Rhinolophus ferrumequinum: one gene and its partners. The protein of the gene in region 1 binds, or shares a complex with, the protein of each later gene. Links are inferred from orthologs where the notes say so. Each region holds a gene or a part of one and is shown on either strand. Other genes may lie near its edges.

The links.
Region 2: GINS4 (region 1) and CDC45 share a complex: the UniProt entries of both Homo sapiens proteins name them as parts of the CMG helicase complex. The link is inferred for Rhinolophus ferrumequinum from reciprocal best matches to the Homo sapiens genes GINS4 and CDC45.
Region 3: GINS4 (region 1) and MCM5 share a complex: the UniProt entries of both Homo sapiens proteins name them as parts of the CMG helicase complex. The link is inferred for Rhinolophus ferrumequinum from reciprocal best matches to the Homo sapiens genes GINS4 and MCM5.
Region 4: the proteins of GINS4 (region 1) and GINS2 are in contact, whole or in part, in a crystal structure (PDB 2E9X), measured with the Homo sapiens proteins. The link is inferred for Rhinolophus ferrumequinum from reciprocal best matches to the Homo sapiens genes GINS4 and GINS2. Residues at the interface, in NP_115712.1 of Homo sapiens: Pro23, Ala24, Ile27, Glu28, Glu31, Trp34, Met35, Lys38, Phe39, Gln57, Met61, Leu73, Lys74, Ser76, Ile77, His78, Met80, Glu81, Arg84, Ile85, Tyr87, Val88, Ser91, Asp166, Asp168, Ser169, Tyr170, Val171, Phe172, Val184; in NP_057179.1 of Homo sapiens: Met1, Glu5, Phe8, Leu9, Glu11, Lys12, Phe21, Leu23, Asp24, Lys25, Ile26, Tyr27, Leu28, Ile29, Gly30, Trp47, Leu48, Asn51, Leu52, Arg55, Lys57, Phe135, Gln139, Glu140, Ala141, His142, Ala143, Lys144, Leu145, Asp146.

Annotation. Positions count from the first base shown.
Region 1 is NC_046287.1:58,829,979-58,838,203, reverse strand, and holds the start of GINS4 (DNA replication complex GINS protein SLD5), read left to right. Parts: upstream 1-5,037; 5' UTR 5,038-5,187; intron 5,188-6,047; 5' UTR 6,048-6,066; coding exon 6,067-6,162; intron 6,163-8,225. UniProt on the Homo sapiens protein: Required for correct functioning of the GINS complex, a complex that plays an essential role in the initiation of DNA replication, and progression of DNA replication forks.
Region 2 is NC_046308.1:24,081,017-24,088,497, forward strand, and holds the start of CDC45 (cell division control protein 45 homolog), read left to right. Parts: upstream 1-4,153; 5' UTR 4,154-4,252; coding exon 4,253-4,303; intron 4,304-4,429; coding exon 4,430-4,489; intron 4,490-5,280; coding exon 5,281-5,373; intron 5,374-6,894; coding exon 6,895-7,032; intron 7,033-7,481. Other genes in the region: UFD1 (ubiquitin recognition factor in ER-associated degradation protein 1), read right to left, coding at 7-39, 395-527, 3,375-3,377. UniProt on the Homo sapiens protein: Required for initiation of chromosomal DNA replication. Core component of CDC45-MCM-GINS (CMG) helicase, the molecular machine that unwinds template DNA during replication, and around which the replisome is built.
Region 3 is NC_046293.1:10,965,096-10,972,798, forward strand, and holds the start of MCM5 (DNA replication licensing factor MCM5), read right to left. Parts: upstream 3,090-7,703; 5' UTR 3,021-3,089; intron 2,790-3,020; 5' UTR 2,782-2,789; coding exon 2,615-2,781; intron 394-2,614; coding exon 267-393; intron 189-266; coding exon 60-188; intron 1-59. Other genes in the region: HMOX1 (heme oxygenase 1), read right to left, coding at 6,411-6,541, 7,418-7,517. UniProt on the Homo sapiens protein: Acts as a component of the MCM2-7 complex (MCM complex) which is the replicative helicase essential for 'once per cell cycle' DNA replication initiation and elongation in eukaryotic cells.
Region 4 is NC_046298.1:30,856,412-30,863,988, forward strand, and holds the start of GINS2 (DNA replication complex GINS protein PSF2), read right to left. Parts: upstream 3,334-7,577; 5' UTR 3,215-3,333; coding exon 3,125-3,214; intron 2,701-3,124; coding exon 2,586-2,700; intron 1-2,585. UniProt on the Homo sapiens protein: Required for correct functioning of the GINS complex, a complex that plays an essential role in the initiation of DNA replication, and progression of DNA replication forks.

The DNA of each region.
Region 1 (8,225 bases):
ACCCCCATGAATGAGATTAGTGCCCTTATAAACTTGACCCAGGAAACTCTCTTGCCCCTTCCACAGTGTGAGGTTACAGTGAAAAGACAGCCACCCAGGAAGTGGGCCTCACCAGACCCTGACTCCGTCAGCGCCATGATCTTGCACATCCAGCTTCCAAAACTGGGAGAAATAAATTTCTGTTGTTTATAAATCACCTAATCGCTAGCATTTTGTTATAGCAGCCCGAATGGATGAAGACAGGTGCCTATCCCAACCATTTAAATGTCCCGAACCCCAACACTCTCTGTTACCCAATTTTATTTTATCACCACCTGACAAAGAATTGTTACGTGTTTATTATCTATCTCCCTCCACAGGGTGTGTATTTCCCATCAACTGCTTTGTTTTTAGCACCTACACAGGACCTGGTAGTAGACACTCAAATATCACTAGATGCTCAAGAAATATTTGTTGAATGAAGAAATAAATGTGTGCATGAATGACAGGCACTGCGATCAATTTGGAGGATACCTTCGGGGAATTCATAATCTAATGGGAGAAACAGACACGTTAAAACTGCAATATAGCGTGATAAACGTTATATCAGAATAGTATAAGGTATACTGGTGACCTAAATAAGGGGTAGTATGTTAAGGATGGTTTCACAGAGGAAGAGTTACCTTGGCTGAGTCTTGAAGGATGAATAGGAGTTCATCAGGTGGTTCAATGGAAAGAGAGAAGCCTAGGAAGAGGGAACAGCATGTGCAAAGAAAGGAGACAAAACACCTCGTGTCCTAAAGTAGTTTGACACGACTGGAGCAGATAGTGTAAGGGAGGAAGCCCGAAACTACAAGAAAATCAGCAGCACTGTTTTCAGAGAGTGACTGAAATCACCCCAGCACCTGATGTCCTCCCTACTTCTCTTAAGGGAATTTACTCCATCCTCCAACAGCCTTCTTCAGTGCAGCTGTCTAAGCCTGAGGACAATGAGGTACTAGCTTACAGGTGCTCTGTTTACTCTCTGCCAAGGAAAATCTCAAGAGTGTAAAATAATAACACTGGAATGAGAGAATATCATCTTACTCTTTGCTCGAGGAGGCAGCCGCCTTTGGCAGGTATCGGTGCCTCTGCTTCCCTATTGACAAAGTTGAGGCAAAGAGGGGAGACGGCATCTACAAGTCTTTGTCCAGGCTCGGGAAGCTTTGGTTAGAGCAGAGTTTGAAGTCAGGGGTCTGGGTCAGCTTTCTTTTCAGAAGATATGAGGACCCCTCCATAGCAAACTGACTCTTTTTTGTTATTCTCAAGGCTGATACTGCAGTCATGAGAAGAAAGCATCCTCCTATTAACCACGAGAAGACAAAATACAGAGGTGGAGGTCAGGTTTATGTGTCTGTGCCAGAAACTAGGAACATATTAAGACCAAACTTAGGGAAGGAGAGTCACACTATGTTCCTATAAAGGAGCAGGTAGAGAAAATAGAGAACATGGTACCAAAGATTTGGACAGACGTTTTCTAGTTAAACAATATTACAAAGCTACATAATTCACCTTTACCTGTAAACTCTCTTGAAACGATGATCTCAAACCTTAGATTTGTAAAGTTTGTATCTTTATGGGGGACATTTATGGGTTAATTAAACGTGCTTGAAATAAAGATGGGCTTTGAGTAAGGGATGAGCAGCTAAAGTCTGAAAGGAAAAAAGGAATGAGGACTATCAGGAGTTGCCCAGATATTGCATTTGTCAGAGAGACCCAAACCTGGCCCTGACCTCTTGAGTTTCGCAGCATCTCAGGCACACGAGCAGTATAGCGTTTTACCACTGGCCAGAAAAATACTTGCAATTTCACCAGACAATAGCTTTTCTTGTGAGGCCAAAGAAAATATTCATAGAGTACTTTTCTGCCTTCCTTAAAAAATCCAAGTTGCCCTCTTAGTTTCCTATCTTTAGTCCAAATTTTCATTCCTTCAGAACAACTTGGGGTTAAACTTTGCTTAAGTACTACACTCCCCAAAGCTTAATTCTTTGGTTCTTAGGATAGTGAAACCAAAAATGTGATGAAAGTCAAAGAAAGGAAACAGTGAGAAACAGCTGTTGACCAAATGAGCAAGGGCAGTGATGATATGAAAACAATAATGATGATATTATCTTGTATTTCAAAAGTATCTTTCTGTAAAAAGACTCACAATATCATATGGATATGTATACTTTATCTTTATCCTTGGTGATTGAAAAAAAATACGTTCATTCTTATTATTGTATATTTCCATAGCTATCCACAAATATTTTGGCTGTTTCTATTTGCTGCATCTTTAACGGAAATAAATTTCTTCATTGAGAATTATCTGGAAATTACATTGACTTTTCACCTTCTTCAATTGCATAGGGTCCTATTTTATGTATCCTCTTCAACTTTGGGCAGAAGCCTTTTCTTTTTGCTATGTTTGTAGCTTCATGTTTTGCTTGTTTGAATTCATGTTAGCATGTTCATTTTGCTCGTTTAATCATCATAACTTGCCTACAAATTCTGTCCTACAGTTTTATTTATCACCATCAAACTTCATCTTCCTATCATAACCTATGTAATTCTCTTTTCTATGTGATTATTTTAATGAATGGCCATTTATATCGCCATGTAATTATTTTCTAAAACTTCTTAACAGTGAGTGCACAACAACCAGGTCTTCTGGATTTTTCTCTTCATTCTACATAATGTAACTTATGACCTGTCTTTTCTCCCACCTTCCTGAACTTTACAGTGCCACTTGACCAACAGTTTCACAAAAAGTTTGAGCTGCCTCCCCCAGGTAGCTCTATATATTGTTTTTGGACATTGCCTTAAATTCTCCTTCCTTACCTAGCAGAAATCCTTCTCTGCAAACTCATTTTACTCTCAAGTGGTTTTGTCTGATGAATGTTAGTTGGAATCAATGATCTTAGAAGTGAAAGAAGACCACCATCCCCAATTTTTGACCTGCAGGAAGGTACATATTGTTCTCACTTAATAGGCAGTGCAACTGAAGCCCAGACAAGTGACTTGTGTCAGGCAGCACCTCTATTAAATAAGGAAGCAGAAGCTAGACTCCACCTCCCCAAGAAAGTTGCAGTGGGAGATTGGAGAAGACAGCACCAAAGAAAGGAAGTTTGAGTAAGTAAACTAAGTAACTGGTACTTGTGTGGAGTAGTTATTGGTGCTTAGATTCAAATCTACAACACTTAAAGAATCTTAATAAAGACCATTGAAAAGCTAGATAGTAATGAGAATTACAGAACGGGACTGTGCTCAAATACTAATGTTCCAATCATCTAATGCTGCATAACAAAGCATCCCAAAACTTAGGGGCTTAAAACAACAATATTTTACCGACCTGCAATCTGGGTAGAGTTCTGCAGGGACAGCTCCCTCCATGTTAGCTGGGATTGCTGAAAGTCTGAGAGCTAGAATCATCTGAAGGTGCATTCAACTCAGACATCTGAAAGACAGAACAGTTGGGGCTGCTGGGGCTCCTTGAACATCACTTTCTATCTCTGTGTGACCTTTCCACATGGACCCTTCAGCATGGCAGCTACAGGCTAGCCAGACTTCTTACATATCAGCTCATTGCTTCCAAAGGGTGTAGCTCAAGAAAGAGAGCCAGGCTGAAGCTGCACCACCTTTCATGACTTAGCTCCAAAAGTCACACAGCATCACTTCTGCCACCTTCTCTTGGTAGAGGCAGTTACCAAGATCTTCCCAGATTAAAGAGGCAAAAACATAGACCCCACCTCTCGATGTAGGAGTGTCAACGCCATATTGTAAGAAGAGTACTGGGGTGAGATCTTTATAAGAGTAGCTATCTTTGGAAAATACAATCTGCCACAACTAAAAACCGTTGGATTACCAAATCACTGAAATGCAGAGCTGAAAGAAATAGACCTTAAAAGACCATCTATTTGTCATTAACAAAACTCATTTTGCAAGGCACAACTCAAATGTTTCTTCCTTTTGGAGTCCATCTTTGATGTCCTCCAGCTTCCATAGCCCTTTGCAAATATGCCCACTCTCTCACTCAGTTATATTCTATTGTAATTATTTTTATACCATGATTGCAATCAGGCAGGTACTATCAACCTATCATTTAGCCAAACTTTTTTTTCTAATCAAACAATATGGCATAGGAAACACCGCAAAGAAAAGAGTCTTCAGACTAATAGGGAAAACACATTTCGAGGAGAGTCAGAGGTGACACTTTCTCCAGAAAACAGACAGCAGAGAGAAAAGCATCAGCAATTAAGAGAAGAAAAACTGACATCACACAAAGAAAAAGATAAAGATAGTATATAGTTTTGCCCTACATTAAAGTAGAGACGGCATAAAGAGTAAATGTCAAAATAACCTAGACTCAAGTAGCTGAGATGGAAGCATTGCCTAAAGCAGTGGTTCTCCAACCTCATCTGTTTCAGACTCACCTGGAGAGTCTGTTTAACCACCTCCCATAGTTTCTGATTCAGCAGGTCTGGGTGGGGCCTGAAAATCCGCATTGCTCACGAGTTCCAAGACAACCTTGATGCTGGTGATCTGGTACTACACTTTAAGAACCACTAGCCTAAAAGTTTTTAGACGTGGAAGTAGTAGCATAACTGAAGCGCCGGCAAAGATGAAGGAACCAGAAGGGCCCAAGATTGGTGGGTGAAGATGACCCAGCACACTAAGTGACCTGATTTTAACAGAGGCCATTTCTCTGTTGTCCCCCCTACGGGACAGGGCATACTCGGGTGATGATGCTCCCCGATGGCCGGAAGACAGACACGGCCTCGTCCCCTCAGCCGCGGTAGCGTGGCGCCCCCTCCCGACCGTCCCTCGGGGATGTTAGCCGGGACCGCACACAAGCGCGGCTAGCCGAGGTGGGCGGAGCTAACTCGGACCAGCCTCCCGCCGCGTCTTAAGGAGGGAAAACACCCGGCAGTGCCTCGAGTCCCCGCCCCCTGGGGGGGGCCACCAGGACACCGGGTCGTGATTGGTCAGTGCCGCTCGTGCGCGGTGACGTTTAGCTAGGTGGAACGTTTCTAAGAGGAGCGCGGGAGCTGAGAAGTGAAGGGTTGATTACGTCCGGGAGAGAAAATTGCCCCCAGGTTCTCCTTGGGAGAGTGGTGCTGCTCCCCCCACGAGCTTCCCGTCCTAATCTCCTGCTACTTTGGGGTGCCTCTCTGCCTCCTAGGTGACCAGGTGAGCATCCGAGTGTGACCTTTGATAGTGTGTATGTGTGTGCGCGTGCGCTGTGTGTGTGTGTGTGTGTGTGTTAGAGGAGGTGGTTACCCAGACTCGTGGCACCGAGAGAGGAGAGGAGGGAGAGGAATATGCTCTGTTTCCCTGAGGCTCCGGGGACGACTTCTCGTCCCTGCCACCCATCTTCTTAGGGCTTTGGGATCGCTGTCTAGTCTGATGTTGCTGGGCCTTGCAACACTGATTGGTTCTCCCAACAATTTTAAGTGCCTGCTATGAGTTAAGCACTGTGCTAAGCGCAGGGACTACACAGGCAATTACCGTGTGTCCCGGAAAATAAGACCGAGCCGGACCATCAGTTCTAATGTGTCTTTTGGAGCAAAAATTAATATAAGACCCGGTCTTATATTACATATTATATTATACCGGGTCTTATATTAAAATAAGACCAGGTCTTATATTAATATTTGCTGCAAAAGACGCAGTAGAGCTGATGATCCGGCTAGGTCTTATTTTCAGGAAACATGGTATGTCCCCAGTTCTTACAAGTGCCAGGCACAGAGTAATTCATCTTTAAACTGAAGTGAACAAGGACCCTGAGGAGAGGATCTCTACCAGAAAGACGAATAATTATTGCATGGTGTGACAGGTGCTCAGTTAGAGTTGTGCCTGGAAGCACAAGAGGTGAGAACTGATAACCTAACCTAAGGTTTGAAGGAGGCAAAGAATTGAAAATATCAAAGCCTATGAATTCTCTAGCCACTGCCAATGAGCCTTTACAACCTGTTGTAGTATGTAGTTGCCTATTCTTGCAAATAAATGGAAAACATATAGAAAGGTATGGGTTCTTTTATTCTTAATAGGTTCCCAGTTTCAGGTAAGATGACAGAGGAACTGGATCTCACGGCACAGGACTCTGATGCGGGCAGTGAAGAAGTGGTCCTAACTCCTGCAGAGCTCATTGAAAAGCTGGAGCAGGTAAGAGTCCCAAATAGAATCCCCTTGCGCCAATCTTAGCCTTTTTATTTAGTCCAACTGTGCAAATGTCGGGAATCAGGAAACGATGAAATGGGATTCAAGGCTTATTTCAAGAGAAGAGTGACTGGGTCTTACCATCTGCCCAGAAATAAGAAGTGGGGGGAACAGTCTTTGTTAGAGAACTCATGTCAAACACAAACTTCTCCAGTGGGGCCAGTAAGGGACAGCTTTGGATACATTGAGTAGAACAGTTCACAGAGCAAAGATTTGCTACTTGGTAGTTTCATGGACTACAGAAGTGTTGTAGTGGAGACTTGTAAATTTTATGCCTTAGTCCCTTGAAACACCTGCTGTTTACTTATAGAATGCTTGGGTTAGCAAGAAAGAGCTGAAACACCTTTTTTAGGATTAAACTGGTCTTACTCTTCCTTTTCCTCCCAGGTACTTTCTTTTGTCAACTATTCTCTATATTTCCATTGCTTATCTAAAATCATTTCTAGGCTGTCTCTCTTTTTAGTCATAAGAGCTATGGTTTGAGTATTTCCTGTGTGCTAATAACTGTTATTTACAATTAACTGTGAAGCTCTGGTAGTTAGTTCAGACTCTGTATTTAAACCCCTCCATGCCACTAGTCTGTTATGCAACCTTAGGCAAGTTATATAGCTTGTCTCAAGCACTTTCTTGACTATAAAATGAAGTTAATAATAGTGGCTACCTCATAGAGTTGTGAGGATTAAGTGAGATTTTATATATATATATATATATATATATATATATATATATAAAGTGCTTAGCATATTGTTTGACATGACAAGCACTCACTGAATGTTAGCTGTGAGTAGTAATAATCCTTACAACAACCCAGTGAGGCAAGTATTATTGTTATCTACATTTTACAGATGAGGAAACTGAAGCTTAGAGATATAAAGTAACATGCCCAAGGTCACACAATGGCAGCAGAGCTGGGATATGAACCAGGTTTCTTTGACTCCAAAACTCATGCTCTTAATCCACTACACATTACTGCCTTATTCTTGTTGTCTCCCCTTTTTATCCCCCACTTTTTCTCGCCTCCCCCCCCCACTCCAGTTCAAGCCGTTGTTTCTCAGTCTAGTTGTGTAGGACACAGCTCCCTGCCCACGCTGATATTAATGAGCCTTGCACTCCCCCGGCTGAGGCTGTCGGTTGCTGGTTGTCTGTCGGCTGCTCATGGCCCACAGCAGCCCACGGCTGCTCACGCTGGCCACTGGCCACTCCTGGCAGCACAGGGCAGCACGCAGCAGCCCTGCCCACGGCAGCCCAGCTCCAGGGAGAGCCGTTGTTCACAATCTTAGCTGTAGAGGGCGCAGCTCACTGGCCCATGTGGGAATCGAACTGGCAACTTCGGCATTAGGAGCACGGCGCTCCAACCACCTGAGCCACTGGGCCGGCCCCTTGTTGTCTCCCTTTAACTGCCCCTTTCCAGAATTCTCTCATGTTTGTTACTTTAGTGTTCTTCATTCTTTTCTAACGTACACGCCATCAAGACTAACAAAATCAAAGGAACAACCCATATAGAATTTTACATCTAATTTCAGGAGTTTCACAGACACCCTGAAATCTGCCTACCTAGTCTGGGGACCCTAGTTTAAGAGCCCCTGCTTTATTAGGAGAGGGTTTATTAAATGGAAATCAAAAAGCATAAAGCATGAAGGACAAAACTGATATATTCAACTACATTAAAATTAAGAACTCTGTTTTTACATCTTCCTGAGAATAAAAAGACGTGCCACAGAACTGGGGGAAAATATTTGCAAAATATATAACTGGCAAAAGATTAGTATACATAATACACAAACTTTATAAATTGACCAGGAGAAAAATGAAAGTCTTAATAGGAATCTCCCAAAAGTGGAAACCAGGATGGCCCATCACCATATCAAAATAACATCCAACCTTTTTGCTAATCAGGAAACTGAAAATTTAAATCGCAATGAGATAGCACTGCATACCCACCCATCAGATTGGCAGAAATGGAAAAGATGAACAATATAAAGTATTGGCAAGGACGTAGAGATGGAGAG
Region 2 (7,481 bases), on another chromosome or scaffold:
ACTTACTGAGTTGATCGAGGGCTGAGGGTGGCATAATTACTGTGGAGAAAATATTTAAGAAATACTAAGAATATAAAAATTAAAAGGACAGAACAAAAGCCAAAATGCAGTTTCTGTTCTATCTCTAAAAAGTATTAAACAATACTTGTACGGAAGCCAGAATTTCGTAATAATCTTTCATAAAGAACTTTCTTTGCTGTCATTTATTTTGGGGAACTGAATGGCTACTAGCCATAAATCTAATCATAATTTGAACCCCGCATATCTGGAGCAAGCAACATTTTGACTCTAAGGAGCTTCTGTTACACATGTAAAATAAGGACTGTTTAAGACTATAAGCACTGCAGGCTGAGGGCAGGAAAGGTTACTATTCAAAATAAAAACAAGCACATACTCTTCCCGCCTTTCTCCACATCTGACCTGTCATTAGGCCCTGCGAGCATGGACACGGAGAAGCAGCGGTACTGCGTGGAGAAGCGGTTCTGGAAGACCCGAGGAATTGGGTGGTCAAACATGTTGAAAGAGAACTAGAAGGAGGAAAGAGATGCCAGAGTTAGAACAAAATAAAGGTACATTTCTTCTTGTCAAAAGCCAAAACAGGTCAGGGTGGTTAATGCTGCTAAACACCCTCAAAGAACAAGATGCACCGAAATCCTGATGGACCAGAGTGGTCTGCCTGAAGCACTTCCCAGTATCACGGTAAATCTCAAATCTGTTTCCATTCTTTCTGCCAAGCCTGATCTAGTCTCCATTTTTAGGTGGTGCAACCTTACTGAAATAACTAGGCAGTCACGCCTGTTCTTAATCTTTTTCAGTGCCCCCACTCCCACCCTTGCAATCCAGACCAGACCTCACATACCTCAGGGAGTGGTTACCGACGGCCCCACAATATCCTACACATGCCACCCGCCCCCAACCCTGGGCTGGTTCCCCTGCCTGGTACACTTTTCCTCTTTCTCCTCTTAATTAAAAAAAAATCTGTCTGCCAGTCTCTGATCTAAGAACTAGGGAAACACCATTCCAGTGAAGTCTGTTCACTAACAAAACAAGTACAACCTCAGCCCCGGCAGAGTTCATATTCTGCCATTCCCAAGACAAAAGAAACAAACAAACGACGCACGTGAGGCAGTGATAAACATTCTGAGGACGAGAGGTTAAGGGACAGAGAGCTCCTGGGAATTCTAGTGTAAGTGGGTGGTCAGGAAGGGACTCTCTGCAGAGACCTGAATGCCACGATCGGGAGCCAAGTAGAAAACAAGGAACAGTGTTCCAGGCAGTGGGAAGAGCAGGCGCCTGGTGTTTGCACCCCTTTTCCTGGCTTCCATGACTATCCTTTCTCCAGGAACCTTTGCTGCTCTGCTCAGGGTCAGGGCTGGTACCCCTGCAATGTGCTCTCACATTGTGCCACACGGTGGAACTCCACACTTCCATTGATAAATAAAGCTATCAAGAAGGTAAGATGCTAGCTCTTAAAACTGTGGATTACAATGAGGCTTAGAAAACATGTTACCCAGCAATCTGGGGTCAAAGTATTGCAATTATTATGATGTTTCAAAAATCTGTATATATATATAATCGCACAATAGGGTATATTCCAAAAGAATTGAAAGCAGGGCTCAATATTTGTACACTCATGTTCACAGAAGTGCTATTCACAATAGCCAAGTGGTGGAAACAATCCAAATATCCACTGATGGATGAATAAAGAAAATGTGGTGTATACATACAAAAGAATATTGTTTAGCCCTGAAAAGGAAATTCTGACACGTCTTGAAGCTTGAGAAGACTATGCTAAGTGAAATAAACCAATCACAAAAAGACAAAGACTATAGGATTCCACTTATATGAGGTCCCTAGAGTAGTCAAATTCAAGAGACAAAAAGTAGATAGAATGTTGGTTGCCAGACGCTGGGAGGAGGAAATAGAGTTGTTTAATGGGTACAGAGTTTCAGTTTTGTTAGATGAAAAAGTTCTGGAGACCCATTATACAATAATGTGAACTTAAAAATGGTTAAGATAATAAATTTATATTATGTGTTTTGCACCACAAGTTTTTTAAAAATCTCACAATAGACAAATATTTCTTGACTTGATTCCAAATAGACATTAAGTAGAGGGAAAGCCATCTACCGATAAAGTAGTTTACTAGCAATTCCACAATTAATTCCACAAGCAGAATCAGCCTTCTTCCTAAAATGCAAATACAGCATGCTCCTGCTTAAAATCTCAAATGGTTCTTCACTTTGTGTTCTATTGTAGTACAGTAGCTTTCAAACCTTTGTCTCTCTTCTTTTAACCAGCAGAACTCCTCAACAAAATCTTGGCCAGAAGTATAACAAATGAAAGTGTTTCTGGATGAAGGACAGGGGAGGAGTCCCGCCTCCCCTAAGTGCCTCTCACTACCTCCCATCTAAGCCACTCCTGTTTGCAACATGAAAGAAAAATGTGCAAAGTATTTAACACCTACACCACTCTGCCTTCAAAACACCGCGGAACCTTTCTGCCCCTCCCTACTGCTCCCCACCCATTTTACTTTACTTACCCCCCTCCTACTTTACTTTTATAATCCCCATGCCCAGCATATTGCCTACCACATAGCAGGTATTCAAATCCGTTAAGTGGATAAACTTGAGAACAGAAATATGATTCGAAACTAACACACAGGATAAAATCTAATAATCATTCCTTGTTTTTACTGAAATAAACAGGTAACACAGGCAATGATTACAGTGGTAATGAGACTGATCTTTGCAGCCAGATTTGGCTTCAAACTTTCAGAAACTACCTCTTTAAATCATAGTTTTCTCATGGTTAAAACAATAAGAATCATCCTTGCCTCCAAGGGCACTGTAGGGATTAAATGGGATAAAGTGTAATGAGGGACGGTAGATGTTAATGAAAAATTGTGTAACAGAAAAAGCGCCAGCAAATACTAGCTACGATTTATCTTTACTGAATCGCTTAAGTAGCAGAAGGCATGATCACCACCCATGCATGACCAGGAGGTACTGGATGTTCCCCCATGCATTTTTCCTAGAAAGCCCCTGATTCTGCAATAACCTTCCAATTAATTTGGTGTTTATGGAAACCTGTTATGTGTTTAATACTTGCGAGACCCCTCGGTGGACTGAAACATGGAAGGAGCTCAAGTCCAACTGAGAGGAAATGCGAACCAAGTCCCCAACTAGGGAGAAGAGTAGAGGCTGTTCGTAGTCAAGGGTCTGGGTCTTGTTCGCCGCGCCCGGGACGGGCAGATGGGCCGGGCTCAGGCCGGGGTGACTCGGCATCTCCACAGCCGTTAAGTCCGCCCCGCTGGACCCCAATCTCGGCCCCCGACCCCAGCCTCAGTGCCCAGCCCGTCCGGCCGCGCTCACCATGATGGCACCTGAGCCTCCCAGATGCTGCCTCGTCTAAGGAACGTTACGACCGGAGTCCACCAACTTGCTCTTCTCACAGCTGCCGCCGCCGCCTCCCCTCGGATGCCCCGGGAGGCTCACCGGAAGTGCCAGACTTTAGACCAGGGGGGAGGTGCCGAGGACAGGGCTCGGCTGCAAAAGAGAAAAAGCCAGGCAAAGGCGCCAGGGCTTAAAGTTTCCCCGAAATCAACAATAAAGTACCTTTTCCAAATTGTTGTCCACTCTGGAGTAATTTAAAAAATTATTTTAAATTACGTTTTGACAGTACCCTCCTCTAGATGAATTTAGTTGGGCCCATTCTCCTTACTGACTACACTACCCAGAATGCACGTAGATCTTCCGGCCTTTGCGTCAGCCATCGAGGACTCGGGCGGAAGTATGTCATTCATCTGCTTTCGAACTAGACTGAGAGCCTATTGAAATCGTAAACCGACGCTTTCGTTCGATGCATAAATAAGTTTAGTTTAAGGTGAGGTGGTTTCTTTTGCCTGGGGTTCCAGTCGGGGGGGTTATAGGCTTCTCTGCCCAAACTAAAGATGTCCACCGAGCCTGGAGTTTCTGGGTAAATGGGAGTTAGCGTTGTGTTGTGCAAACGTGTTTCCGTCCTGCCTGGTGATGACGCTCTTTTGGGCCGGGCCAGAATTTTCCAGCCGTAAATGGCGGAAGGCTACTGTCGCCGCAATATGAACCAATCATAAAAGAGGAAAGGATGGGAACTAGGTACCTATTGATTGGCTCGTGGGCCAATCGGAAGAGCCCTGATTTGGCGGGAGTCTTGACCTCCGCCGGGGCCTGGGTGTCTCAGCGCGAGCTCTGGGTGTTTGGCCGCCGTGGTCATGTTTGTGTCCGATTTCCGCAAAGAGTTCTACGAAGTGGTCCAGAACCAGGTGACCCCGTTTCTTGGACCTCGAGGCCTTGTCACGGGGAAGGGATGAGGGGGAGCGGCCGTGGGAGGGCGGGAGGGACCCGGGTTCGAGGCGCTGAGCTCAGTTCGCCCTGTCTTCCCCCAACAGAGGGTCCTTCTCTTCGTGGCTTCGGACGTGGACTCTCTGTGCGCTTGCAAGATCCTTCAGGTGAGCACTGAGGACTCTGGCAGGGTGGGGCCTGGCGAGAGGTGAGGGTGCAGGGTAGACGTGGGCGGGAGGTGGTACGTACAAGGTCCGGAGGGAACAGGGTCGGGTAGGGAACTGTGCGGGAGGTGAGAAGCAGGGTAAGGAACCCCTTCCTGGGTGAGAGCTCAGGCTGGGTAAGGTCTGGAGCAACAACAACTGAAAGCTGGGGAAGACTCTTGAGAGGTCGCCTTTCTGGCAGTACAGTATTGGGTGGGTTAGAAAAGGACGAGGCACAGTCAAGAATACTAGTTAGTATTTTTGCAATAACCTAGGTAAAAAGTTGGCTGCATTAGAGAGACCGATAGACTTGTAGTGGCTTCTCAAATGTGGGATTTGAGATAGAGGAATCTGTGAAAACAGGGCATAGTGGTGCCATAAGCAATGCTGGAAATACAGGATCCCTTAGTCTATTACAGAAGATCATTGGTTCGGTTTAGAATATGGTGTGATGGATGTTTACATGAGCTTTGGTTACACCCTTGCTTCTGGAATTACTTCTCAGAAAATTCCAGAAATCAGATCAGCTTTTCTCCGAATGTTTTTCTTTGGCATTTTCAAAAATTCGACAAAGTTTGCATAATAGTACAGTGAATACTCATATCCCCATCACCTAGTTCCTCCCATTAACAGTTTACTACCCTTAGTTTATTATCTGTCATTTGTCTGATAACCCATCTTATTTGTTTATAGTGCATTTCAAAGTAAATTAGACATTCTAAATGTGATAGGCTTTGAAAATAATCTCTCTCCAGGCCCTGTTCCAGTGTGACCACGTGCAGTATACGCTGGTTCCAGTTTCTGGGTGGCAAGAACTTGAAACCGCATTTCTTGAACATAAAGAACAAGTATGTGAGATGTATTTTTGAATAATTAGGCTTTTTTTACTCAATTGCAATTTCTTATTTAAGCACCAACTATATTAGGCAATACCAAAGAGAAAAATGAGCTGTTATGTCTGGACTTACCCTCAAGTCAACAACAAAAAAAGATAGTGAATATGGACAGCCTCTAACCTTGAACTTGTGTGGCAGACATTTCATTGTAAGGTGCTTGGAATTTAGCAGTTATTTTTAGATATGGCTTAGTTAAAATTATTTTAGATTAGACTACAATTTTACGTTATTTCTCCAAGAAAACGTATCCCAGTTTCCAACGTGGAATCCAGGAAAATATTTTCTCCCTTTGTAATTTTAAACAGTGGTTGCCAGGATTCCTCCCACCTCTACATGCGGCCATGAGAGTTGGTACATTTAGACCCCACATACAATCTCATTTCTATACACACACGCTATCCTCTCTGCATAGTTAGTGTTAATTCTACTACACATAGGGAGAAAAGCATTTTAAAAATCATAAAGCATTTAAAATATGAATTATTGTTTCAGTAAGTTTTTTCCAAGTAATCTTGTTTCTGGGTCTCACCTCTATTCTGTTTCAGTAACTTTGTTCTTTTACATTGAGTGCTCCTGGATGGTACTAAGATAAAGAAAGAATATATCAAGTTATAAGAACCTAAAAACGTAACCAGTTAGAAAAAACTGTTTTCACAAAATCCTGTTTAAGAATTAGGTTTGCTGAGAAGTTTTTTGACAAGCCCACTTGAGGAAGAATCTCAAACCCCAAAAGGCCTACATATAGACAAAATTATTCATGAATAAGAAAAGGAAAGATGTTCTGGCCACTCTTGTTGGTTGATGAGAAGAGGATGAAGAAGGTAGAATAAAGTCAGTACCGGATATAATGTGATAGATTGAGGGGCTGGAGTATGGAAGAGGGTCCCTGGAGTCTGGCCATATCTAGGACTGTCTGGCAGAGGTAAACCTTTGCCTGGAGCTCCTGTTATCATGGGAGGGACCTCTGCCAGTTCTGTATTTATAAGGAAATGGTTTTCTATAGTGATGGGATGTAATAAAAGACTTAATATTTAGGTGTCCATTAAGAATGGGCTATCCAAGGTTTGCTAAAATTTTAAAACTGGAATGCTATTAGCGTGGAGAGACAGTTCGTCACAATAGTGTGATTGATGTCTGGAGAGGCCCAGTTATTCATTTGAAGTCTTGGTCTGCTCCTCATCAGCTTCTTGATTCTGTGCATGAGACTCTCACGTTCTGAGCCCCTGCGTGCTCCTCAGTGAAGTAAGGGCAGCCACCGGGCCTACCTCATGGTGTTGTCATGGAAATGAAGTAGTATATGGAGTATGTTAAAGCACTAAGCACAGGGCATTTATGGCCATATTGGAGCCCCTACCCTCAGGGCCTTGCCAAGTGTCGGGTTTGATCTCACCAGCAGGACTCAGATCTAGTGTGCTGAAAGTAAAGGGGCCTCCTTGATGCACTTACTTCACAATATCTCTCTTCCTTTTTCAGTTCCATTATTTTATCCTCATAAACTGTGGAGCTAACATAGACCTATTGGATATCCTTCAACCCGATGAAGATGCCGTATTTTTTGTGTGTGACACCCATAGGCCAGTCAATGTCGTGAATGTATACAATGATACCCAGGTAACTAGGCCTTTGGGGCCCATGCCTCCCTTGAATTCTCCCAATGATCTGTCTGTGCCTTTTATGCCACGGACATTGCACCTGGTGTCCTTAGTAAGGCATGTATCCACCTCCTCTGCAGGAGTTGGAGCAGCCTGAGCACAAGAACTTGATCTTGTCCATATTTGATGAGAAACATGGCACCTAACCCTTGGAGGTGCTCAGACTGCATTTGTGGATTTGCTTGATCTGGGAGGTACAGGGACCAGAACCCTACACCCAGTTTGCTCTCAGCTCAGACCCAGCCTGGCCTCACTGAATATCAAGGACCTCAGAGCCATCTGAATTCATCTGATGGATGGTGTGAGGACGAGCTAGATGGTGGTGTGAGAGGCCACTGTTAGCCGAAAATGGCTCTGTTACACTTATATTCAAACTCCTGAGCAGCGGGCACAGAGCCTGGCGCAGAG
Region 3 (7,703 bases), on another chromosome or scaffold:
CCCCTCTGTGCCATGCAGCAGCCACTGCCACCCTCTTCCTGGCCTCTAAGCAAACCCACCTTCAGGCTACGAATGCTGGACGGGCTGGCGTCTGACTTGAGAATGACCTGGATGTCCTGGAGCACCTCCTCACCGATGGGCCGGGGCCGGGTCACCTCGTCAGCCACCTCCTTGGCAGCTTCCTCCAGCTAGAGAGAAGGAAGGGGACAGGCCGTTGGTGACGAGCAGGGCCAGCCCTGGGGGGTCAGAGACAGGGTCCCACTCACCAGCTGCAAGTGCTCGGCTGGCTGCTTGTACAAGAAATCAGCCAGGTCCTCGTCAAAGCTGGCCAGGTCCTCCATCTCCACCTCGATCCAGTACTCCCCCAGGTTGTAATGCCGCTTGAGCTCATCCCTGGAGGGGGCAGGTGGCAGAAAAGAGCAACCAACACTGGCTAAGGTACACCTGCACCCTGAACCTGCCCTTACCATCACCAACACTGCTCACCACGTCGCTCCCCAAACGCACACAGAATTCCAGGGGGTTCTGCAAAGGATCCCTGTTGTCACACAACAGCCTAGCAGCCTGCCCCCGACTCCCACACCCCATGTCTTTCCTTAAGGAAAGAAGAGTCTGTGAGACTGTGTATCTCTGGGACTGTATATTTCTCTCTATTTAGTCTCCAAAAGAGGGTTTGCGGCCAATGACGAGTAAGATTCCCCACGGCGGGGACAACTCAAGCCAGGCGGAACCCCATGGAGACCCCCAATGAGCTGCCTTAGAAAGATTTGGGAAGGGGCCTTGTCTCCCCTTCCCCCTGCCTGGGAAAAGTCGCTGCTGACTCTGGCTTCCCCTCTCACCTAATTGGGAGAAAAGTCTTGAGAGTGATAAGATTAAGCTGTCTCTGCTCAGCTCTGTGAAACAATTTCGACATGTGATATATGTCCCTTAAAAGAGTTGCATACCTCACCTCAAGGACTTTCTGCTTCGGCTGTTTGAAGATCAACATAATTGGTTTGGGTTGTTTCTATAACGTGGTGAGTCCCACAGACCGTGCCAAAAACACTGCTACTCCCTTGTATACTTATCAATAAAAACCTCCAGTCGGCTCATATCTGGGCTCCAGTCTTTCAGAACTGTGAGACCCCTGGCCTTCTGAGATTTAACTGCATTAAGTCTCTGTATGTTTCTTTCTTAAAAACTTAACCCAAAGCCACCCCTTCTCGCACCCTCAGTGCCCGTGTTGCGCTGGACGCAACAGGTCCCTACTGCCAGCAGAGGCAGCCTCCAAAGAAAGCTCCGTGGAAGGATATTTCAACCCTCAAAGACGAGGTTCCACGCACAGGTCAGTTGGGGAGACTCTCACTGCAAATCAGTGCTTCCATTGCAGGACTCTCTTGGGAAACTAACAAGGCACACGCCCCAGAACTGGGGAGGCACACGCCCCAGAACTGGGGAGGCACACGCCCCAGAACTGGGGAGGCACACGAGAGTAGACATTGTATCTTGTCAACCATCACAGATTCTTTTCAGAGCATTCCACAGCACGACTGTACCAAACACATTTGGGGACCACGGACCTACGCAGAGCCGGCTCCCAAGCCTCACCTCAGGCCTCATCCTCTTCTACCTTATGCGTGGGAGCCACATAAAGCAGCCTGTCTGGCCCAGAGAGCCCCTTGCTACAACAGGCCACCCCATACCTCTGCCCATGCAACTGCCATGTGGAATGCCTCCCACACCACGACTCTTCTCTCGGCTCAAGGGTCACCCAGAACTTTGGCTCCTCTGGAAGTCTTCCCCAACTCCTCTTTTACATTCCTCCCTTGAGGTGACTATCACTTCCTAATTTATGCATCGCTCCCACTGAGCTCTCGAAGGCAAGTAGTACGAATGTTTTTGCGTCTGTTATCTCAGTGTCTAGCAGTGTCTGGCACATGGGTGATCAATGTTAGCTTGTGCGTGAATAAATGGAAGCAGAAATGGCTATGCCCATTTTACTGACGAAGAAACTGAGGCCCAGAGAGACTGTCACCCGAGCCTGGACCTGCAAACGCATGTTTGAAGGGCCTACAATGATGTGGCATGATGTCACAGGTTGCACAATGACTAGAAGCAGGGACCTAGCCCAGATCGTTCAGTGCTGTAGCACCTGGAACAGTGCCTGGCATGCAGCAGGCACTCAATCAATAGTGGTTCCAAGAGAGGAATGAACGAATGAATGAGTGAAGTGAATCATAACTCCCACTTCACCTACTGTACCCAGAGACAACTAGGGTCAAGAAAGTATCTCTGACAGTATGTATAAGGACAGAAACAGCAGACAAACAGGAACAAGAAATGGACAACGAACCAAAGGGCCCACGTAGCTCCAGCTGGGTTGGCGGAGGCCCATTCAGCAGAAGACTGGCTCAAAAGTTAACTCCAGGTATAAAACACAGGAAACCATAGGCCATAGGTTTGTGGGGGGGAGGGGAGTGCCTGATGACGCACTGCTGGACCAAAACCCGCAGACCCGCGACAGGCTCCTCCTCCTCTCGTCCTGTTTCCCCATCCGTGTCTGGACTGTCTATGACACTGCAAGGTTCTCCGTGGAGACTGCCCAGCTCCCCTCCGCCCCCGCTCCGGCTCGCACCTGTATTTGAAGGTGAAGCCGGTGCGGTCGGTGCCCACGCGGTACTGCCGCAGGAACTCCTTGAAGCGCCTCTGCAGCTGCGATTTGCGGGCCTGCCCCTCATCGGTCGCGTTGTCACCCCCGAAGCTGTCGCTGTAGAAAATGCCGAGGTCGTCGAAGCCTGACATGCCTGCACCTGGCGGAGAAAAAGAGCTGGAGCAGAGTGGGGGCAGCGCGCGGCGACCGATGCCTGGGTCCCTCGCTCCGAACGCGAGGCGGGTGTGTCTCGACTCAGGGGTGGGGGACCCTGACCCCAGTTCTCCCAGGGGATACCCCTACCCACCCTTATTGCGCCCCCATCCATAGCCTACCGACCCCCCGTGGGGCGGGCTCCCGGGTCCCCACTCCCCAGTTCCACCGGCCTCACCTCTCCTTTCCGCCACTCCACGGACTCGGAGAGACAGGCACCCCGACACTCTCCGCCGAGTTTCGCGGGAAAAACGAGAGGCCGCGTTCGGACGCTGCGGCTGCTGTGCCCCAATTGGTTAGCCGAGGCCCCGCGGCCATTGATTGGACCGCTCTGCGCCCTCAAGCCCCGCCTCCAAGGCCAGTAGCCGAAGCGGATTGGCTGAGGGGCTCATGATGTCAGGACTCCTGGTCTCCTTCCGGGCTCCATTTTGTGTGGCGGGCAATTTGGCGCGAAATTTATGACGGGAAGGGGAGGGGTGGGGCCTGGCGTAAAGATGGTGGAGGGGTGGGTTTTCGGGCCGAGGGACAGTGCGGGCGTGCTGAGGACGCTTGTGTACTCTTCTCGAGGCTTTCTAAAATCTCTTGAGAAAAATAACTCCTTTCAGAGCCACGGGGTGAAAGAACCAAGGGTTCAGAAGCTATACGTCCCTACGAAGTACACGCTTGCGGGGTGCGAGCCCGCTGCCGTCCAGCGGGCGGGGGCGGGGGCGGGGGCGCGGCCACCTGCACCCCTGCTCCGTGTTCTCACAATAACAGACTCTTCTAAGATTGGGAGATTGATCAGGCACAAGTCACCTCTGGTCTCCTTAACGCCTCTGGGAACAAAATCGTCCCAAACTTAGGACTCAAGGATGTTTTCTTAGACCTAAAGGAGAATTTTTGTTTTAACTGTCGATTTTAAATTATTTGGAAATGCTTAACCTTGGCGAAAATTCACGACCGGGTTCCCAACTGAGCTTGAAAAATGGGAGTATTTGGCCAAACTCGTCGCGTTCTCAAGCAGCAACAAGGACGGCATACTTTTCTTCATTTCTACCCACCTCCCCTCAAGGACCTGGAAAGAACTTTGTATTGTCCGCCACGGTCACTCAAACATGTTTGCAAGGCATGTTTGAAATGTGTCTTTTCACAGTGTATAAAAATACCAAATAAATCGGAAACGCTTTTCTGCTTAATACTGCACGGAAGTCCCTCTGACGGGAAACATTTCATTCTATCTAACAGTGATTTAATTTTCCATAGTATGAATAGAAGGCAAACTATTACCATTTTCCTGAGAGTAGAATCAAGATGCTTTCTCTCCCGCCTCCCACCCGCCCTCCATCACCACCATGAATATCATGCCCCTTTCACAGAAAACTGGAAACTGGTGTCGTGCAGGGGACCCTGCTCGTTGCGCCATGTGTAGTGCAGGGGATCCAGGCGGGGTCTCTGCTCCCGCCCCCCACATAAGAACGCAGGGTATGGCTAGGCCAAAAAGGAACATCCACGGAGCCATAGGCAGGGGAGTCACACCACTATACTCTCGCTGGCGGCTGGGTTGGAGACACAGGAACCAGGAGCAACACAATTCTCAACCCTCACTGCACTGCTTGCAGGCTCAGCCACCATCTTCTTGCTAGCTCCCCCTTTTTTCCTGCTAGCCTAGCCACGGCAGTTATATTCATGGCTAATGGCTCACTGGTTACAGCTGACGGCCAACTAGCCACAGCTGCTGGCCATTTGCTCACAGTCGATGGCCATTTACTACCTGAGCCAGCACCTTTCTATGTGAGGCCGAGAGCCTGGAAACTGATTTTTGGGGCTCTGTCCCCACACTGGGCCCAAGGTGGGCAGAGCTGTAGTTGCTGTTTGAATGACTACGATTTGCATGCACCATCTCATAAACAGTGGCTCCTGTTGCTTGGCTGCCCTTCGCAATCTCCCGGGGAGCCTGTTATACACAGGGTTCCAGAATCTAGCCCCAGGTTTCCAGAATCAGAACCTCTCCAGTGGGGCCCAGGAATATCTGGGTGATCATGATGCCACCATCCACTGACTGGTGCTAGGACACCACTGGAGTAGGTGTATTGTTCTCATTTTGTCAATGAATAAAGGAGACTTGAAGTGACTTGTCCAAGTTTCCAGACGTAGTGACAAAACCAGAACCAGGGACAAAGGACGTCCTGACTCCCAGTCCTCACCTACTAGTTGTCTAAGGAAAGGCCTTGTCCCCTGCGCTCCTAAATACACCTTCAGCGAGGGGCTTTCACTGTCTCGGATTGGGATTCTGCATTTTAAATAAGCTGATGGCTTTCATGAGTTAAGGGAAAGGCTTGGGTCACAGAGCTGAACAGACCTGGGGTAAATCCTTCCTGCCCCTCAGGGTGGTGCCGCTCGTCACACAGACTCACTGTGAGGATTAAATGAGATGGCATAGGTGAGGTGACTGCCAGTACAAGAACCACTTAGCAAGAATCACAAAACCCCGATCTCCCTCGTTTTCATAATAGGGGCAAGTGTACAATGCTGGCATTTTACATGCATCTCATTTGCTTCACAGGCAGGTGAGGTAGGTCTCACTGTGTTCATGTTACAGGTGACACCACTGAGCCCCAAGAGGGGTTAGTAACTGACCCCTCTGTAGGCAGAGTGACAAAGTGGAGTGGCAGGGTCTTGAACCCAGGGATCTCTCGCTAGTCTCTAAGATTCACTGGACAAGACTCAAATTTTATCCCAGAATCTGCTCATTTCAGCCTAACAAGGCAAAGCTATCCTCTGTAAAGGTGAGTCTTGCGTCAAGCAGGGTTCACCACAAAGATACACCCACCAACTACTTAAAGCTCAGCCCCCATTCTCAGAACAGAACACAACATCTAAGACAGGCTCCTGCACCCTTTCTCCCCACCAGACATCCAAGAAGCAAGTGAGGAAAAGGTCAGTTCCCCAAGGTAACAGCCCAAGAAAAACACTTCAAGTTATATCAGGCAATATAGTTTATTATTTCACATAAAAGTTAGGGACCAAGGCCACAGTGCTGTTAAAAACACCTCTCTCCCCACCCAACCACCCTTACCCTGCTATAAAAAAAAAAAACAGAACACAACAAAATGCCACCCCAGTTCAGGCTGAGCTGGGAACAAAAAGTGGCTCCAACAAAAACAAGACAAACACAAGACACAACATCTTTGCACATTTATATGAAAATTGCCATGGCCCATGAGGAAAGCGTTCATGGCAAGTCAACAAGGAGACTGTGACCCCAGGGCCTTTGGAGGTTCAGGACAGCTGCTACTTCTGGCTGCTACTTCTGGGCTCTGCTGCAGGAGTAGGGGAGGGGAGTGTTCTGAGGGCTGGGCAAGGACCCCTCATCCCTCTCTGGAAGGTCAGGTCATTGGCTGGATGTACTTTTGGTTGGGAAGACACTTAAGTCTCCTTCTTCCTTTCCAGAGAGGGAAGGAGGGTGGGGGTGCTGACAGCCCCCCATGCCCAAGGGAAGGAAGCCAGCTGAGATTTTCCCTCTAGAAAGAGGGTCCTCCGCTGGACAGAGTTCATGGCCCCAGGAGCCAACACGTGTGTACGTGTGTATTCACATGGCATAAAGCCCCATGGCAACCGTTGCCACCAGAAAACTGAGTGTGAGGACCCATCGTACTAGTGGTGCCCGGGAGAGGATACTGAGCTGGGACTTCCCTCTGGGTGTCTCGATGGGAGTAGCATCTGAAAGAGAAAGGGGTCAGTGTCAACCACACAGATGCACAGAGGTGGGATGTCTGATGTCACAGAAAAACACAGCACAAGGGCCTCAGCAGTCTCTAGTACAGTCCCACTCAATGCCAGGATTCTACTACAGCACAAACAGGTAGCCCTCTAGCCACTGCTTGAATACCTCCAAGGACAGGGAACTTACTATTTCTCCAAGCTGTCTAGTCCTCACTTTTCAGCCAGCCCACCTTGTGAGACCATGCCCTCCCGGGGACCACACTTTGAGAACTGGTTAGGGCAACTACGCCTCACCCCACCAGGTAACCTGTCCTACCAGGACTGGCCACATTCCAACACTCTGAGGCACAATCCCACCAATAGAGGGGTCCACATGGTCCTGGCACATGTGGAAAAGCCACAAGGCAGGGGGTCAGAGTGGCACCAAGAGCCAAGAAGGCTTCATGGAAGCTGCCAAGCAGGCAGTGAGCTTCACCTCTCCACTCTACCCATTGTCAAAGCCACCCTCCCACCACGCATGTGTCAGGTTCGGTGGACGTCCATTTTGTGGAGCATTTGGGTCTCTTGGGACGTTTCCCAGATATTCTCTCAGCACAGACACAGCCTCTGAATAACTCTCTCTACTTTTGAGCCAATGAACTAGAACAAACTCAACCTCCCTTGGTTTGGGAGTTGGGGAAACTGAGGTAGGGAGAGGTGCCCAGACTCACACACTGGAGGTTGAAACCCCATGCCCTGTTGCCTGCATCCTACTTCTCATTTAAAACATTCAGAAGACAGGAGAGTTAAGCGATACTGGAGTCAGAGTGCCGGGCCATATGTCCCCCGCCCCGACAGAGCCCAGAGGAAACGCTGCTCCCCAGAGGCCCTCACCTTGCACCCTGCTGCCCGCCCGCTGGCGAAGCCCTGGCTCCTGCGAGGGCCTCTGGTCCTCAGCTTTCCGGGTCAGCCACTCCTGCAACTCCTCGAACAGCTAGAAGACAGAAGACACACAGTGAGAGATGGCGCTAGGCTCCAGCTAACGGTGGGGTTGGAAGTTGGTTTTGAAGTATTTAGGACATAACAGAATCATCTTATGATTGAATGTTCGTGTATCCTTTAACCTGGCTTAAGAGAGAAGATGTTACACGTACATTGGAGTCGCCTGCCTGCTCTCCCC
Region 4 (7,577 bases), on another chromosome or scaffold:
CTCCCGACACCAAATCTTCTCCAGCCACCAATCCATTTCTCAGGCCCTTTACAATTTAACTTCAAGAATCGTCTGACACTGGCATTTACTTCCTCTCCTCAACCACTCAGATGGGTGTCTATCCCACCCCTCCACCAACACGCATGACTTCCGCTTGGCCAAACCCAACGGCTCCGTCTCAGTCTCCATGTCCGACGTGGGTCAATCCTCCTCCTTGGAGGGTATTTATCGCGTAGCTTCTACAACACCACTCTCTCCGAGTTCTCTCTGATTTCTCCTGGCCCTCCTGACTCCTCAACGCTGGGGTACAGAGCTCAGGTCCCTGACCCCTCTCCACTACCTTAACCCACACCCCACGTGATCTCGTCCTGCCTCATTTAAATACCACCTCTGTGCTTATGATGACTTCCAAATTTACATCTCCAGATCAGCCCTCGCCCTGAATTCCTGACTCAAATACCCCACTGCCCACACTGTTTCCACGTGGCTATCTAACAGGCACCTCCAGTGTAACACGATCAAACCTCCACTCTGGGTGCCCACCCCAGCCCACAAACTGCTCCTGCAGTCGTCTCCCTCTCCGGAAAAGGCAACTCCATCTCCTTCTGGAGCTCAAGCCAACCACCCTGGAGTTCATCCTTAACTCTTCTCTCTCACACCACGTGGCCAGTTCCGCAGCAAATCCTACCGATTCTTCGTCCTTCAAAATATGCCTAGACTCCAACCAGGACTGCCCACCTCCATCAGCTGACTGAGTCATAGTCAATTCTTGCCTGGGGAACTCTGCTGCCCTCCCCCACACACATCTGCTCTGCACAGCAGACTGACGCTTCTTTTTTAACATCTAAATCAGAGAACGAAACCTCTCTGCTCAAACCCTGCAATGAGTCAAAAGACTAACAACACCCAATGTTGGCCAGGATACGGAACACTGGGATCTCTCGGACATTTCTGGTGGGATTACAGTAACGGCTCCACCACTCTGGAGGACTGGTTGGCGGTTTCTTACAAAGTGAAGTGCAGTCTGCCCTATGACCCTGCAATTCCACCACTCTAGGTATTTATTTACGCAAGAGAAATAAAGACATATCCACAAAAATACGTGAACAAGAAAGTTCATCACCTTATTCACAATAGCCGACAGTGGGGAATCACCCAACTATCCACCAACGGAAGAATGGGTGAACAAATTGTGGAATGCTCATACAGTGGGGCGCTACTCAGCATTAAAAGAACGTAACGACACATGCAACAAGAGGGGTGAATCGCAAAAACATCACGTTGAATAAAGAGAGAGACCAAAATTGACAGACTAGATGATTCCATTTACATGAAGTCCAAGACAAGGTAGAACCCATGGACGGTGGCAGAACCAGAAGGCGGCTGGCTGGTCCTTGGGTAGGGTCACCAGGGAGGTCTCACTACTTCTCACCACAGTATGGCCCAGGCCTATGAAGAAACTGAGGCTAACCCTCTCCACACCTCTCTGACTCTGGCCTGCAGTGAGGCAGGTTCTTGCTCCATATCAGTTGGACCAAAACTGCCAGAAGCTGATCTTAACGAGGGGCCTTGTGGGGATGCAGCTTTCATACAGCCAGGCCTGGAGGGACTAAAAACCCCTTCAAAGCAGAAGGAATTGTTTCCCATTATGTGTCAAGACCACCAGGGCCATTCACCGCGTTAGGACAGGGAGCAAGGAGGAAATGCCCACGAGGCCTTTCTTAAACTGCACTTGAGAGTGCCGGCTGAAAGTGTCCTTGCTTCTAGGAGGCAGGCATCCCCCGGTGATTCCCAATGGGGAGGGGACAATCAAAATCAGGGCTTTTCAAATTGTACACGGCCCATTACTTCCCCCCCAAATTAAGATTCTGTGCCATAATGAGCCATTCACATCTCTGAGGTGGGGAGAAGACTACAAAGGGTAGACAGGGTAAAGTCTGCCTGCGTCTTTGATGACTTTTCATTTTCGCTCTAACAGCTTTACTGAGACATAAACATACCATACAATTCACCCTTTTAAAGTATTCCGTGGTTTTTAGTATATTCAGAGTTGCGCAACATTTTCATCGCCCCAGAAAGGACCCCCCACAATCCCTCCATCACCCCCATCCCTAGACAACCACTAATTTACTTTGTCTCTGTGGATTTGCCCATTCTGGGCAGTTCATATAAATGGAGTAATACAATGTATGGTCTTTCTGTCTGTTTTTCTTTTTTTTTTTCACTTAGCATAAGGTTTTCAAGGTTAATCCACACGGTAGCATTCCTTTGTATGGCTGAATAATATTCCCTTGTATGGAGAACGCATTCCTTTCGCACAGTCTCCGTCATGTAGGCTATGACACTACTCCTCAACATGTTGGCCTATAGACTTTTTAAAAATGGAAACAAAATGCGTAAGGTCACATCATACTTTTAAAGCAAGTTGAACTAGCTTAAAAAACAAAATCTGAACTAAAATGGAAATACACGCCCCAAATTAACACCAGTAATAGTGGTCCGTTGGCTCGAAGGGAATCTGGAACCCTTAATTTCAGCGGATCCGTGCATCATGGAGGCTCCCGGGACTCCACCCACGTTCTTACCCACATCCATCCACTCGGGAGGAAGCAACCGACACTTCTGTCTTTGTTTCAGGTTAATGGCCAGCCACAGAGGCACTTCCACTGGTAAGCCAGGATTAAAGGGCCCCAGGTCCCCCTGCCACAGGAAAAACAAACCCACGTAAGACAAAGCAGAGCCAAAGGCATCACTGGACCTTGCTGCTGTCAAATAGGAGAACGGGCAATGTATAATCGCAGTCCAAATACAAGCCCTGGAAGGCAGCCCCACATGTGCACTCGCGCGGTGGGGCAGGCCACACCTGGCAGCCCACGTGAGTCGTGTTCCCCGAGGTGCTGTGGGGAGGCCGTCGGAGAACACGTAGGAGGCGCAGGCTACCGCCGCCCCCGCCACACACACACACACACACACGGCCCCCGGCTCGGAACCTCGCCCCCTCCAGGCTGTCCCCCGAGGTCTGGGCACACCGAGTCCGCCACCCAGCTTCCCATCCTAGACTTGGGGACCGAGACGGGCGGCCCACCGCCCCGGCCCGAGGCAAATGCCGGGCCCGCACCCTTACCCCGATGAGGTAGATCTTGTCCAGACTGAAGTTGGGGATAATGGTCACTAACTCCTTCTCGGCCAGAAACTCCACCTCGGCCGCGTCCATAACGGCGCAGGCGGGCGGCCCAAGAGTCGCCGCCGTCCCCGGCCCGAGGGTCCCCCGGGAGGTGCCGCGGCGGCCTCTTTCCCGCCACCACGCGGAGCCCGTCCCCCGGCCGGAAGAACCCTCAGCCGGCCTATAGCAACGCGGCGCTCTCTGCGCGGCGGCCGGAGGCGGTGAGCGTGGCTGCTACGAGCCCACGGATTGGCGAGCTTGAACGAGTCTGGGCACTGACCCGCCCCCGCAGCCCGGCCCCGCCCCTTCGGGGACAGCAGCGGGCCCCGCCCTCATCTGTGGGCCAAGCACTTCGTGCCGCTTCCCCTCCAGCATCTGGCACTACGTTTCTTTGTCTCTTCACCGCCCTGGGTGCCTACCCGCCTACACCGAGTCTATGCCCCTTACTCCTGGGCCAGGAATAAATGCATTTATTCGGTCACAGCATTACCTGGCTAGACAGACACAGCTTCACTCCCAAGGGATTGAGGGAAGGCGTTGTTGCTTTTCATTTCAAAATCTTCTGCTTTCTCTATACTCATTGGTTAAAAATCTATTAAAATGTGGATTGCTCCACACCACCCACACCTTCCGATTCAGAAACTTCTGGGGAAAGGCTCAGAATTTGTATGTTGGCAAGCACCCCAGGTGAGGCTTACGAAGGGGCAAGTTTGCAGACTGCAGCAAATACGCATTGATGTGCTCATCTGTTCGTTGAACAGGTACTCGCTATACAGTGGGCTTGTGTGAAACCTAACAGTGGTTCTCAGTCTCCCTGCTGTGTCAGACTCCCCTAAAAGATTCTGAGTGGTAACATGCACACTCCTAGAAAATTATGATTTGGGTGTCTGGGGTGGGGACAGAAAGCTGAATTGTAACCAGGACCAGGGTGATTCGGATGGGGTGCTTACAGGCCAGGAAAGCTTCCTGGAGGTGGGCAGCCTGTGCAGGACGGGTGGGGACAAGCAGTGGACTGGACTTGAATTTGAAACCCTGCTCATTAGGCCCTAAGAAAAAGCATAGGGGACAGGAGGGTTCCAGGTTTCTGTATCTCTGCAGGAAAGCTGCCCCTCCCCCAGATAACCCCATTCTTTCCCCTCTAACCCCCCTGAAACCTGCCCCGTGTAGGGTTGGGAAGATGAAATAACAATATAATTAAGCTTTTGCGACAACATGGATGTACCTAGAGGGAATTATGCTAAGTGAAATAAGTCAGACTGAGGAAAAACAAATACCATATGATCTCACTTATATGTGGAATCTAAAGAACAAATTAAACAAAACAGAAACAGACTCATAGATACAGAGAACTGATGGTTACTAGATGGGAGGGGGCGGGAGGGCTGGGTGAGAAAGGTGAAGGGATTAAGAAGTACAAATTGATAGTCACAAAAGAGTCACGGGGATGTAAAGTACAGTATGAGAAATATAGTCAATAATATTGTAAAAGCTATGTATAGTGTCAAATGAGTATTAGACTTATGAGGGGATCACTTTGTAATTTATATAAATGTCTAACCACTATGCTGTACACCTGAAATTAATATAAAATAATATTGAATGTCAACTATAATTTTAAAAAAATAGTCACAGGAATATAAAGTACAGCATAGTCAATAATATAATAACTGTGTACAGTGTCAGATGGGTAATAATAGACTTATTGGAGTTACCATTTTGTGAGGTATATAAATATTTAATCACTGTTGTTTTGTACACCTGAAACTAATAAAAAATATAATTAAATTCTGCCCACTCAGATGGCATGGAAAGCATATCTGTTGTTTATCTGCCCTGCAAATTGTCATTTGCAGACCTGGAGATTACCTTCATGGCGTATCATTTATTAAGACAAATACTTTCAAAGAAAATAAAGTCCCTCTGGATGCTGTGGTGACCAAGGGCAAGTGACCACTCTGAACCTCGGTCTCCTCATCTGCAAAAGAGGTAGGAAAAGAAGGAGCTGGGGTGTTTAGAGACGAGGGGAAGCTGCGGACTACCTGGCCCTTCCTAAGCAGAAGCTCCCTTGCATCTGCAAAGAGTGTGTGCCAACTTGTCTGGGTTTTGATTGATGGGAGAATGTTTTCTTCCCTGGCAAATATTTGTATTCCAAAGTTGGCGAGGCTTCCCTCCCAGCTTTTGCAGCCTGCAAAAGAGCAAAGGAAAAGAGCTGGTGGGAAAGCGGAGGTTCTGAGAGGGACAGTGGGTGAGTAGGAGAGAAACAGAGCCCCGTGTCCATGTCACCTGAGTCCTGGTGTCCTTATCTGTTAAATGGGGACAGTGCTGCTGCTGACCTCACTGCCCTGTTCAGGGAGGAAGAGGAGACAGTGTGCAGCATCACACACACTGCAAAATGGTGGCATCTTAGAGTCTCAAACTGGAGTGTATATCAGGGTCACTTGGAGGACTTGTTAAATATCTTTCCCTTCACAGCAGCACAACTCACAACAGCCAAAAGGTGGAAACGACCCAAATGTCCATCGGCTGAGAAGTGGATAAACAAAATGTGATCTATACATACTATGAAATATTATTTGGTCATAAACAGGAATGAAGCACTGATACCTGCTACAATGTGGGTGAACCTGAAAAACATTATTGTGGGGCCAGAACTCCAGACAGCAGTTCCCAGGCTCTCGGCCTCACGTGGAAAGGTGCTGGCTCAGGTAATAGATGGTCATCAGCTGTGACTAGTTGGCCATTGGCTGTTACCGGTTAGCTATTAGTCACTGATATAACGGCCGTGGCTAAGCTAGCAAAATGGTAGTGCAGTGGTGTGGCGTGGTGGTGTGGCGTCCTGGCGTGGCGTGGCGTGATGGATGTGGATTATGGATTGCAGAGAGGTGGATTGCAGCTAGCAAGTGAGGTTGGTTGACAGAGACAAGTGGACGGCGGGTTGCGGATCATATGGCTCCTGCCTCCTGTGTCTCCAACCCAGCCACCAGTGAGACTATAGTAGTATTAATCCCCTATCTATGGCTCCGTGGGTGTTCCTTTTTGGCCTCACCATATCCTGCGTTCTTATGTGGGGAGCAGGACTAGAGACCCCGTGTGACACCCTGCGTGACAATTATACTACATGAAAGAAGCCAGTCACCAAAACCATGTATGATTCCATTTATATGAGCCTCCGGAATAGGTAAATCTGTACAGACGGAAAGGAAATTAGTTGTTGCCGGGGCTAGGGGAGAGAGAAATGGGGAGTGACTGTTAATGGGTACGGGGTTTCGTTTGGGGGTGATGGGAAAAGTTCTGGAATTAGATAGTGGTGGTGGTTGCATACTCTTGAATATACTAAACACCACTGAATTGTATACTTTAAGAGGGTGAATTTTATAATATGTGAATTATTCCTCAATAAAGCTGTTATTTAAAATGCCCTCCACGAAGCTCCAGGCTCAGACTTGCTGACTCAGAAACCACACACTTAACACACTCCCCAGGAGATTGTTATAATTGGGAAAACTGGGGAAGGAAGTGATTTGCCCCAGTCCAGTCTAACTCTGGTTCCAGATTCTGTCCAGAATAAACGGAATCATATCCAGACTACCAGGATCCGGAGAGGACTTCCAAATGCCCAGATTCCACCTGGCCTCTCAAAGTGGGGGTAACAAGACAGTAAACAGACAGGAAAACTAAAGGGGAAGGAGGAGGGGAGTTGGGAATGATGGAGGTGGAGTGCTACTTGAGATGGAGGGGAAGCCCTCACAACCATTATTTCCTGTTGTAAGAAACACCTCTGGGGCGGCCGGTTGGCTCAGTGGTTGGAGCGCAGTGCTCATAACACCAAGGTCACCGGTTCGATTCCCACATGGGCCAGTGAGCTGTGCCCTCCACAACTATTGAAAAAAAACACACAACGCCTTGACTTGGAGCTGAGCTGCACCCCCCCACAACTAGATCGAAAACAACAACTTGACACGGAGCTGATGGGTCCTGGAAAAACATACTGTTCCCCAATTAAAAAAAAAAAAAGAAACACCCCTGCTAAAAGGCTAGAATTCCCCATGTAGTAATGAATTAAGAGTTGGAGATAAAACAAATGGGGGTAAAGGGACAAATCTCCCCTGCAGAAGAATTCAAATGTATATATACATATATATACACACACACACACACACACACACATACATACATACATACATATATACATATATATATATATATATCCTGCCCTCAAGGTGGCAGCAAATAAGTCCCCACTCCTGAGTGTGGGCTGCCCAGAGAGACTTTCTTCCAAAGAGAACAGGATGGAAACAGAAAAAGAGTAACGTGACAGTGGAGAAACCTGACCAACAAGACCTGAGCCAGGTGATCAAGGTCAATATCAGCAGTGATAAGCCATGGTGACGGCATGTACCTTTGATATAATGGA